Drosophila melanogaster: one gene and its partner. The protein of the gene in region 1 purifies or fractionates together with the protein of each later gene. This does not show direct contact. Each region holds a gene or a part of one and is shown in the gene's direction. Other genes may lie near its edges.

Region 1 (6,106 bases):
ACGAGCAGTCAGTGCACGTGTCATCTCGTAGAAACTGAGGTTCTGACGGAACACCTCGATGCCGGACAGCAATCCTGTGTAAGTGTGCATAAACTCGCGCATCATGAAGGCATCACCCAGGAGGTGCTCAGGCAGCAATGTGACGATCTGTCTGTAGCGGGGCAGGACTTTTTGGTCGGTTCTCTCCAGGTCGTCCGTCTTTTGAAGCAGTAAATTACATTCGTTTTCAACGCGTTCAATCAACTGTGCCTTCTTTTCCGCCTTTTGTTTTTCCAACTCAATAAGCTTGGCCTCTTTTTCTCGCTTAACCCGCTCCAATTCCTCTGCCAGAGATTTAGCATCAGACTTGGCCTTCGCCTTTGACTTTGCAGCCGTTGCTTCACCGGCGACAATATATTTGTTGAGAGTGGATTGCTTCTTGCCGTCAGGTTTTTTAATCTTAGCGGGAGAATAACGTGGCATTTTGCCAATGAAAATTGTGGAGAAGTTTACGCCAGGGTCCGTCACGTACTGCTTGTATGCCTCTGGCTTGGGTCGAAGAAGTCCATCCACCCGCGATACATTGCTCTTTATAAACATACTCAGGTTTTCCAGGTTAAACTCCATGCGCGAGCGACGTAATTGCCTAAAGGGCAGATCAAGCTCTGCACTGGGATCGCCCTTGTTTGGTCGTAGTCTGTAGACCAGGTTGTCCGTGTCCTCATAGATACCATTGAGTGGTTCCGGCATATTTTTGTCCAACTTGACACCCAACACCGTGTACGTGGCGTTCTTCTTAGCTTGCACCGACACCTCCTCGCCGATAAAGTAGCGCTTGCGCAGAAACTTGGCCACTATCATGTTCAAGGTGTTGACCGCCGACTGTTGGGCGTGCTCCACAACCAGAAGGACGGGTGCCCGAAGGCTCTGTTTGAACTGCTCCATCTTCTTGCGAGCCGCCCGCTCACTTTTGACCGCCTCCTCGTAGGTGAGGTTCTCCTTGCCGGTGGCCTCGCACTGCCACACCGTTGAGTTGATCACCATCACGTGCCGGAAGTAGTGTCTGGATAAATAAATTTAATCGATCAGCGTTTTAAGGTCAATTTATTTTGATATAATTGAAGCTTGTCAGAGTAAAACATATTTAGTATGTTTGCTATTTATTAAAATAGTTTCGCGCTACCCAGCCTCTTAAATAATTGCTGATCTTAAAAATATCTAGAAGGATCATATAAGTCGAATTGGGTCAACAAATTCCAAATTCAAGAGCGCGCGCTTTGGCACCAGGTGGCAACTCCGCGGCGAGCAGCTGTGCGGCGGCAGCTGTAATTTCTTCCCGCCACCGAACAGCGTTTTTTTCGCCTTTGGCCCACGAGACTCGCACACTTATGCACCCCTGCGAACACACACACACACACACTGAATGGTGATGTACGGTACATCGTGTGCAAATGCTTTTGCAGCGTCGCTTTTGTTGTATACTTTAGCGCAGCGTCCACCTAATGGCAGGAGAAGGGAAGGGGCAGTTGCAGGAATGGTAGCAGGATGCACTTACTCATAGTCGCGAAAAATGCGCTTAGTGATGTAGCAGCAGAAGACCTGGTCGTTGTCGTGGAATGTTTCGTTCTTGCCCTCCTTCTGATTCAGGTCGAATCCTTCCCGCTTGCAAATGGGCATGTTTGGTGTTTTCCTTTTGCTCTTGAATGTCCTTAAGTTTAAATGGCAGTCCTTCGAAGTGCACGTTTAACAGTTCACAATAAAAACAACCGCGGAGCAACTGATAAATTTTACAACGCCAAGCGACAAGCGCAAAAGGCGCCCAACTTTTCACGCCTTTCCGGAGGGGCTTTCGATGCAAACGGTTTTCCAGCGATACGCGCGTTGACTTCCGACGCAATTATACAAGCTGTCGGCGGGCGACACTTTTCCGACAATTTCTACTATGTTTGTGGCTGGCTTCCTCAACACCAACTACCTAAATCCGTTTATTTTATAGCGCACAATCTATTTTCACGCGCATATTTTGGGGCCTATCGCTCTTCGACGTTAAACTATCGGTTATCGAGTTTCTGCGAACAATGTTACCGAACTTCACGAGCGCAGAAAACCGTAAGGACGCGGTCGGATGGATGTCAACAGTTCGATAAATAGTCCAGAATAATATAACGGTAATATTTTTTATGGGTTGCAACTTAAAAAAAACACAATATACGTAATATCAATTTCCCTAAAAGATATTGATGATATATGATAATCCCCAAAAGATATATGAAACATTAATATTTTCAACCATGCATCTCGTGAGTCGCCCATCTCAATTGCGATCTTGTGCGTGTGCGTTTTTCCAGCTGTGATAAGCGACGATCGCACACTTGCTCTGAATAAAGTATATTTGTTATTTATTCTTACAATTAATTCTACTAATAATGTACGCCAGACTGCTGCGAAACTTCGGCGCAAACGCCAGGTGAGGGAAATGATCGGCAGTTCTTTGTTAAGGCCGCTAAATCAAAAGACTTAATTTCGTTCTTGACGATTACATAAACCTTGCTAATTTGTTTTGGCTTGACGCAGGTGCTTTGCAACAGAAGCCAGCCCAAAAGTTCGGCCTATCAGCAAGATCCTTATTTCAAATCGTGGTGAGATCGCATGCAGGGTGATTCGAACCGCACGCAAGCTGGGAGTTCGTACCGTGGCCGTGTTCTCGGATCCGGACGAGAAGAGCATGCACACGCAGTTGGCAGACGAGTCGTACCGCGTGGGGGAAGCTGCCTCCTCGGCTTCCTATCTTCGCGGTGAACGCATCCTGGACATAGCCAAGCGTTCGGGCGCCCAGGCCATCCACCCAGGCTACGGCTTCCTCTCCGAGTCCGTCGAGTTTGCCGAGTTGTGCCAGCGTGAGGGCATCATCTTCATGGGTCCGCCCAGTTCCGCCATCCGGGACATGGGGATTAAGAGCACCAGCAAGGCCATAATGGCCGCTGCTGGGGTGCCGATCATCAATGGATACCATGGCGATGATCAGTCAGATGAGTGTTTGCAGCGAGAAGCCGACAAAATTGGCTTTCCCTTGATGATTAAAGCCGTCCGCGGCGGCGGAGGCAAAGGCATGAGAATCGCAGAAAAACCGGACGACTTCCTCACCGCTCTGAACTCAGCTCGCACCGAGTCCGAGAAGTCGTTTGGCGACAGCTCTGTGCTTCTGGAGCGGTACGTCCGATCTCCACGCCACGTAGAGGTTCAAGTATTTGCGGATCAGTATGGTGATGCTGTCTATCTGTGGGAAAGAGATTGCTCCGTGCAAAGACGTCATCAAAAGATTATTGAAGAGGCGCCAGCTGTAAGTGCACAAGAGCTTCGGCTATTTTAAAAATAATGCTCATTTATACAACAGCCAGGTTTGTCGGAAGATTTGCGTCGTGAGCTGGGCGAGGCTGCTGTTCGTGCAGCGAAAGCTGTGGGCTACGTAGGAGCTGGCACCGTGGAGTTCATTCTAGACAAAGAAGATCTCTCTTTCCACTTCATGGAAATGAATACCCGCCTGCAGGTGGAGCATCCTATAACGGAAATGATTACGGGCACCGATTTGGTTGAATGGCAGATTCGCATTGCCGCCGGTGAGCCATTACCCCTGAAGCAATCTGAGATTACGCGGCGTGGCCACGCATTTGAAGCTCGCATTTATGCAGAAAATCCTCGCGGAGGCTTTCTGCCCGGAGCCGGACCCCTGCGATATTTGTCTACTCCCCAACCATCAAACAACGTTCGCGTGGAGACGGGTGTCCGAGAAGGAGATGAGGTGTCTGTGCACTACGACCCCATGATTGCCAAGCTAGTCGTTTGGGGCGAAAACCGCACACAAGCGCTTAACTCATTGGTTGCCCGCCTGGGTGAATATCATGTGAGAACATTAAAAATTTGTACCTTTAAGACATTTCCCTAAAGGTAAACCAATTTTAGATATCTGGTCTGGACACTAACATTAATTTCCTCATCGACCTTGCGTCGCATCCTGAGTTTCAGCTGGCCAATGTGCACACTGGCTTTATCGATGAGCAGTTCGATACTCTATTTCCGCCAATTATCATCAGTCCGCAGCAAGTCAGCCAAGCTGCTTTGGCGCTAGTCTTAAACGAGTTGCAGGCAGCCTTTAGGAACGGAAACAAAGATCAGGATCCATTTGTTGCCACCCCTAACGCTCGTCTGAATTACTCTTTGGTTCGCAGATATGACTTGAAAGCCAATGAGAAGGGTAAACCACATATATAAATTTAAAATCAAATTGGTAAGCTTATTTAATCTTTCAGTCTATTCTGTGGCTGTCAAGTTTGATGGCGAGGATATGCAAATTCAGGTGGATAATGGCGACTGGCAGGATGCAAAGGTCGAAAGAGTTCAGGATGGAAGTCGTCTAAAAATTCGTGCCAATATCAATAGCAACGTCACCACATATAATGCTAGTATTGATGGCACTAGTGTCTCTTTGTTTTCGGAAGTAAGAATCTACTTTTCAATTGATAACATTTTGTATTTTGTATTTAATTGATTCCCTTTTCCAGAGTGGCAAGGTCGATTTTGAGGTGGGACAGCCGAAATTCTTAAGTGCCCAGGGCGATCAATTGGGTGCAGTTGGGTCTCGCATAGTGGCTCCCATGCCCGGGATTTTAGAGAAGGTGCTGGTAAAGCCCGGTGACAAGGTCAAGAAGGGCGAAAACTTGGCAGTGCTTATTGGTAAAAAAAATATAAATTTAGATTATACATAGTTTTAAAAACAGTTTTGCATTTTAGCCATGAAAATGGAACACATTCTAAAAGCTCCAAAGGACGCCACCATTAAGTCTATTGGAGGAGCCGCGGGCGATAACGTTGCTAAGGGAGCGGCCGTGATTACATTCGTCGACGAGGAAGTAGAAAAGTAACGGAATATGTTTCGAAACGTACCAGAGAGTTGTTGCATTTACAAACAAAATTATATTTTAAATATTAACTAGCCTGCTTTTGGTTCAGGGATCACGAAGTGCATTTATTATCGTTAAGTAAAAAAGTGTCCATCTAATGGAATTTTCTTATCTTTAACCCATTAAACGTCTAAAACTGTTAGCCATGAATTGTTTTTGTGGGTAAGTAAGGAAGCCAAAAGTAATGGTTTTAAAAAGTGATTTATTTGTTTCATTTTCGCTGAATTTAATGGATGTAACGAACATTAATTTCCCAAATGTAATACATCTTTGTGAATACATAATTTAAAATTGAGTTCCGTACAAAATCTCGCGGCATAAAAGTTAGACTTTGAGTTGATTGCTGTCGGTAAACGGAAACGGAAATGGAAACTGAGAGAAGGCATGAATGACATTGCGCGCTTTGCTTTCTCTTCGCATTTATTTCGCAACTTAGAACATAAAAATGTAATAAATGTTTAACAAATTTCACTTAATACAAAACACTAATCATTTAAAATATATGTACTTATGACCATAATCAAGTTTTCTTTATGCTCGTGTTGCTTTAGTCCATTCTGCTCTTGAGTTTATACTGTTTTGTTTTAATTAGCATCCCATTAAATCGGTTCATGCCGTTGAAATATGATTATGGAAACAGTTTCAGAGGCGAGTACTGAGTACTAAAGATGCAATTTGGTTTCTTGCCCTAATTCTTACAATCAGCCGATTCGTTTCGATTAGTTTTTCCTAGTATCGTATCTAAGTGTCCATCATTTTGATTTTTTTCGGTTAGTATAGTAAGTGTTGCTCGGCTTCAATACGTAATACATCATTTATATACTATATAAATACAATTATATGGTACTGTAAACGTGCAACTTAACGCTTCTTATAGATTATGAGTGTGTTTCTTTCTGCCTACGTCCGTTTCTGTGTAGTGTTGTGGGAGTTAGTTTAAGGTGTTCTTTTCATTTTTTTTTTTTAGATTTATACATTAAAAGGGACACATTTACAATGAGGAGAAATAAACATATCCCTTTTAATGCTTAACAAAACAGAAAACCAAACAAAAAATTGGTGTATTTGTTTATTATTAAAGGTAATTATAAAGTTCGATAGCTAATAAACACCTTTGCTGGTTTTGATCTCCTTATCTACCAGACTTTCGTTCCTTGACTCGCATCGCT
Region 2 (5,213 bases), on another chromosome or scaffold:
CTACCACTATACTAAATCCACATAGCAGCCTCGACCGTAGTATGTATTACCAACCAAATTTGCATCTTCGTTCACGCTATAACATTGAACTTATAAAGTTAGCTGCACCATTTGGGATCAGCGAGATGCCAAAAAGGCGCAGCTTTCCGTGCTGGAGATCGCGTCTTGCATAATCGAACGCGTGGACTCAATGGGCGAGGCCAACGACTACATCTACATAGGCGTGGTCTTCTCTTTCCTGCTCACATTGATTCCCATCTTCTGCCGTCTCTGCGAGGTATGTTGCCGGGAAGGTTTTGGTGGAGGAGACTACTTATTACTGGTCAAATGCACTCAGGTCACACTCGGGAGCGATGCAGAGAAGGCCAGTGAGATTAGCTACTTTAACATGCCGCAGCTGCTGTGGGAGAAGTCATCGGCATCGCTCTTCACCCTGCTGGGCCTTGCCTTCGGCGACAGCCAGTGGGAGCGCATGGTATTGGCTCTGGGCTTTGTCCAACGCCTTTGCCTGACCCTCATACTGTTCATAATATTCGCCGTTGCAGAGCGCACCTTCAAGCAACGCTTCCTTTACGCCAAACTCTTCTCCCACCTAACTTCATCACGTAGGGCTCGAAAGTCAAATCTTCCCCACTTCCGTTTGAACAAGGTGCGTAACATCAAGACCTGGCTGAGCGTGAGGTCGTATTTGAAGGTAAATATAAACATCCGCGTATTTCTTGATCAAAGGCACTGAGTTGCATTCCCCATAGAAACGCGGACCCCAGCGATCGGTGGATATCATCGTTTCCGCCGCCTTCATAGTAACCCTCCTGTTGCTGGCCTTCCTCAGCGTCGAGTGGCTGAAGGATTCGGCTCATCTGCACACACACCTTACCTTGGAGGCCCTAATCTGGTCCATAACAATCGGTATCTTTCTGCTGCGCTTCATGACCCTAGGTCAGAAGATACAGCACAAGTACCGCAGTGTGTCGGTGCTGATTACGGAGCAAATTAACTTGTATCTGCAGATCGAGCAGAAGCCAAAGAAAAAGGACGAGCTGATGGTGTCGAACAGCGTGCTCAAGCTGGCCGCCGATCTGCTAAAGGAACTCGAAACGCCATTCAAGCTCTCTGGCCTTAGTGCCAATCCATATCTATTCACAACCATCAAGGTGGTAATCCTGTCGGCCCTATCGGGCGTGCTTAGCGAAGTTTTAGGCTTTAAACTGAAGCTGCATAAAATCAAGATCAAGTAACCTATGCAAGGCGCAGACCCATCATATTTTTGTAGTACAACTTTTTAGAAACGCTTTAAGAGAAATCTAACACTACACTCTAAATTAGTTAAGTGAATAAATTTAAGCGAGCCAATGTTTATGCTTGTCACGTGATTGTTTAGCTACGTTAACAAGCCCACTAACGACTACGTAAACCAACAGAAATTAGTATTTACCTACTTACCTTCTAGAGCGACCTGCACAATCACAAATCATGTTTAGGCAAATTGTGCAATGCAATGAATCGCATGAAAGTTCATAGAACTTTAAGCCTAAAATCAGTGCACCTATTGTAGTTGGCTGTTCATTCTGTTACAGTCCCAAGTTAAATTCCTAAGGCGGTCTCAGCTAGTGTTGCAATTAATAAATGTTAGTAAACTATAATAAAAATCTCGTTTAAAATAATATGCTTTGTCTATCTTACTAGTATATACCAATTGGATGTTTATAGCTGTGAAAGCAACAAATTGGTTCTACCTTTTTCTTCATTGGATAGAAAGATCTGATCTAGATGTTAATCTTTAATCTTTGTTGAAAACTATATCCTTTTTTCTTTCTGTGCAACACCCGTCTGCTCTTCGTTAATCGATAGTTGGCTCAATAGCGATCGACCAGCTGTTGCTGTTATCGTTATCAGTTCGGCCACCCACAACTGACGTAACTTTCGCCTCCACTCGCGTGGTAATTTTCGCATTTAGCTCCCTTAAAATCCCACCCCCCACAAAATGATCCGGCTTAATTGGCTATTCAGGAGCTCCTCGGTGCTGCTGCGCAGCCAGGTGCGACTGCTCCATGTGGGAGATGCCAATGTTTTGCATAGCGAGGTAGACAAGCAGTCCGCCGAGTACAAGGTGCATATAAACAGGCTGTATTTATGTTTACATACCAGCTAAAGTCCAAGCTTTTTTAGGAAAATGCCAGAGAGATGGCCAGTTTGGTTGGAGATCTGCGGAACTTCACCAGCCAGGTGCTCAAGGGAGGCGGACAAAAGGCCATCGAGCGACACACATCGCGGGGTAAACTCTTAGCCAGGGAGCGCATCAACCTGCTCCTGGATAAAGGATCGCCCTTCCTAGAACTCAGTGCTTTGGCCGGACACGAGTTATATGGCGAAGAGGTGGTCAACTCCGGGGGAATCGTCACCGGAGTGGGACGCGTTTGCGGGTAGGTCTGAAAAATCCAAGTTGATCGAAGTTCCACATCAGAACTTTTAGCGCTTGCATAGCACATTCAGTCTGCAGAAGACAAGGTTACGCGTCATTAGGGTTAATTAGGTCGTAGATTATATTTAGATTATAATTATAGATCGGCATAAATAGCCGATCCGATCTAGCCGTGCCCCCAGTCTGTCTGTTCGTATAAACGTAACGATCTCCGGAACTATTCAAGATATTTTGTGAGTCTCATAGTGAAGGTGGAAAATAAATAAATTGTGTACGAAATTTTTTAAATTATCAAAAATAATATGCAATTTTCATTACAGAACTGAGTGTTTGGTGGTGGCCAACGATGCCACTGTGAAGGGTGGAAGCTACTATCCCATTACCGTTAAGAAGCATTTGCGCGCTCAGGAGATTGCCCAAGAAAACCGCTTGCCCTGCATTTACCTTGTGGACTCGGGTGGCGCCAACCTTCCGCGCCAGGCGGATGTCTTTCCAGACAAACTGCACTTCGGACGCATCTTCTACAACCAGGCAAACATGTCGGCCCAGGGAATTCCTCAGATTGCTGTAGTTATGGGCAGCTGCACGGCCGGAGGAGCTTACGTACCGGCAATGGCCGATGAGAGCATCATTGTTAAGAAGCAGGGAACTATATTTCTTGCTGGGCCGCCGCTGGTGAAGGCGGCCACTGGAGAGGAAGTGTCTGCGGAAGATTTGGGTGGAGCAGACTTGCACTGCAAGACTTCTGGGGTCACCGACCACTATGCCTTAGACGACGAACACGCCTTGTATCTGGCCCGCCAGATTGTGAGCAACTTAAACTTGTCCGCCACTAATTCGTACAACGATCAGCTGATGCACTCCAGTCAAGTCAATTTCCAGACTGCTACTCCGCCGTCTGCCGTAGAAGAACCGCGCTACGACGCGGAAGAGCTGTACGGCATCGTAGGTCCCAATCTTACCAAAAGCTTTGACGTTCGCGAGGTGATTGCGCGCATCGTCGACGGAAGTCGCTTTACGGAGTTTAAGAAGCTATATGGTGAGACTTTGGTGTGCGGATTTGCGAAGCTATATGGCCACACAGTGGGAATAGTCGGAAACAATGGAGTCCTTTTCTCGGAGAGCGCACTCAAAGGCGCCCACTTCATTCAGTTGTGCGCACAGCGCAAGATACCGCTCGTTTTCCTGCAAAATATTACTGGTAAGTTGATATGTGGAGTGGCTGGGCGATTAAATAATGATATCGATCTATGTAGGCTTCATGGTGGGGCGCGATGCCGAGGCCAATGGTATTGCCAAAAACGGAGCTAAGATGGTAACGGCCGTGGCCTGCGCTAATGTGCCCAAGTTCACGGTGATAATCGGCGGTTCCTACGGTGCGGGCAATTACGGCATGTGCGGTCGGGCCTATTCGCCTCGTTTCCTATACATGTGGCCAAATTCGCGCATCTCAGTGATGGGCGGAACTCAGGCAGCCAATGTTATGGCTCAGATCACCGAAGATCAACGCAAGCGAGCTGGCAAGGAGTTCAGCGAGGAAGAAGCCCAAAAGCTGAAGGCTCCCATTGTGGAAATGTTTGAGGCGGAGGGTTCGCCCTACTACAGTACGGCTCGTCTGTGGGACGACGGCATCATTGATCCGGCCAACACCCGTCAGATCCTGGGCCTTAGCTTGAAAGCAGCCTTGAACAACGCCGGTCAGGAGACCAAGTTTGGAGTCTTCCGCATGTAAATCCAATTTGTATGCTGGAGAAATTTAATCGGAGCGCATTTACAGGCATTTAATGCCTTTATTTCGAAACTGTTGCATTTATTAGCGTTAAGGCAATTGTTAACTGTGTAATGTACAACTGATTGTTTATTAGGAACAGGCGTGTGAAATCGTTCAAAGCTTACGAAACAACTTTTAAGTTGCTAAAATATTTTAATTCCTGTGCAATAGAACAAATGTTTATGTCAAAAAGTTACAGCTATTTAAGAAATACGGAAAACACAAAACACACACATTTAAATGTATAATGTATAACAAAACAATTTATTTTATTAGTATTAAGGGTTGTAAGAGTAAAACCAGTAAGATTGACACAGCTGGGATCAAACAAAGCCGCCTATCTAGTGCATACCACTGTTACACTTTTAGTGGTGTTCAATATAAATATTTTCTTCTGAAAATAAATACGTTTTATTGCTAAATTTCATGCTGTCGTACATTTATAATTGTATTTTTTAAAAATAACAGTCGATATCGCTATATAGTGGACCACGGACTATCGTTCATCTCTAGCGCCTATCGATAGACCTCCATGCGGACCTGCGCTGGGCGGCCGATGCATCAGTGTACATTTTACATCCCTAGCGCTCGCTCGTTTAGCAGAAGACGGTTTTTCATAGAATTAACATTTCCTTGTTTAAAGCCAGGAATCATTTAGTTCTCCGTCGCCCCGAAGGATAACGACCAACTGATTAGGTGAGTTTATCACAGGATCCCACGATTGACCGGTTGAATGTCCACTGCATCCACAGTGTGAGTGAGTCAGTGAGTGAGTCTCTCTCCGTTTACATATATGTGTGTGTGTGTGTGCGGCTCCTCAACTTATTCGCAAAAAAGAAAAGAAGAAATCGCAAACCTAGAAGTAGCGTCAGCAGAAAAGAAAGTTCATCGGTATGTGGCGATTTAAAATAACTCTGCCGAAAACTTCAAGTGCACACTTGGCCGAATAAATAGCTGTACATCGCGGAGCCTGCGTGCGCCTGTGTGCGTGCCTGTGCGTGTGCATTGTATATTTAAATG

What was found.
Region 2: the proteins of Mccc1 (region 1) and Mccc2 purify together in Drosophila melanogaster (affinity purification with mass spectrometry, with the first as the bait; one large-scale study listed by BioGRID). This does not show direct contact.

The regions. Positions count from the first base shown.
Region 1 is NT_033777.3:31,789,918-31,796,023, reverse strand, and holds Mccc1 (Methylcrotonoyl-CoA carboxylase 1), read left to right. Parts: upstream 1-2,116; 5' UTR 2,117-2,405; coding exon 2,406-2,446; intron 2,447-2,553; coding exon 2,554-3,319; intron 3,320-3,373; coding exon 3,374-3,880; intron 3,881-3,939; coding exon 3,940-4,231; intron 4,232-4,286; coding exon 4,287-4,474; intron 4,475-4,538; coding exon 4,539-4,710; intron 4,711-4,767; coding exon 4,768-4,898; 3' UTR 4,899-5,432; downstream 5,433-6,106. Other genes in the region: Acf (ATP-dependent chromatin assembly factor large subunit), read right to left, coding at 1-1,042, 1,535-1,656.
Region 2 is NT_033778.4:6,744,501-6,749,713, forward strand, and holds Mccc2 (Methylcrotonoyl-CoA carboxylase 2), read left to right. Parts: upstream 1-1,880; 5' UTR 1,881-1,984; coding exon 1,985-2,110; intron 2,111-2,169; coding exon 2,170-2,423; intron 2,424-2,742; coding exon 2,743-3,623; intron 3,624-3,678; coding exon 3,679-4,154; 3' UTR 4,155-4,454; downstream 4,455-5,213. Other genes in the region: phtf, read left to right, coding at 1-39, 99-277, 338-694, 753-1,238. UniProt on the Drosophila melanogaster protein: Carboxyltransferase subunit of the 3-methylcrotonyl-CoA carboxylase, an enzyme that catalyzes the conversion of 3-methylcrotonyl-CoA to 3-methylglutaconyl-CoA, a critical step for leucine and isovaleric acid catabolism. Vital for adult survival.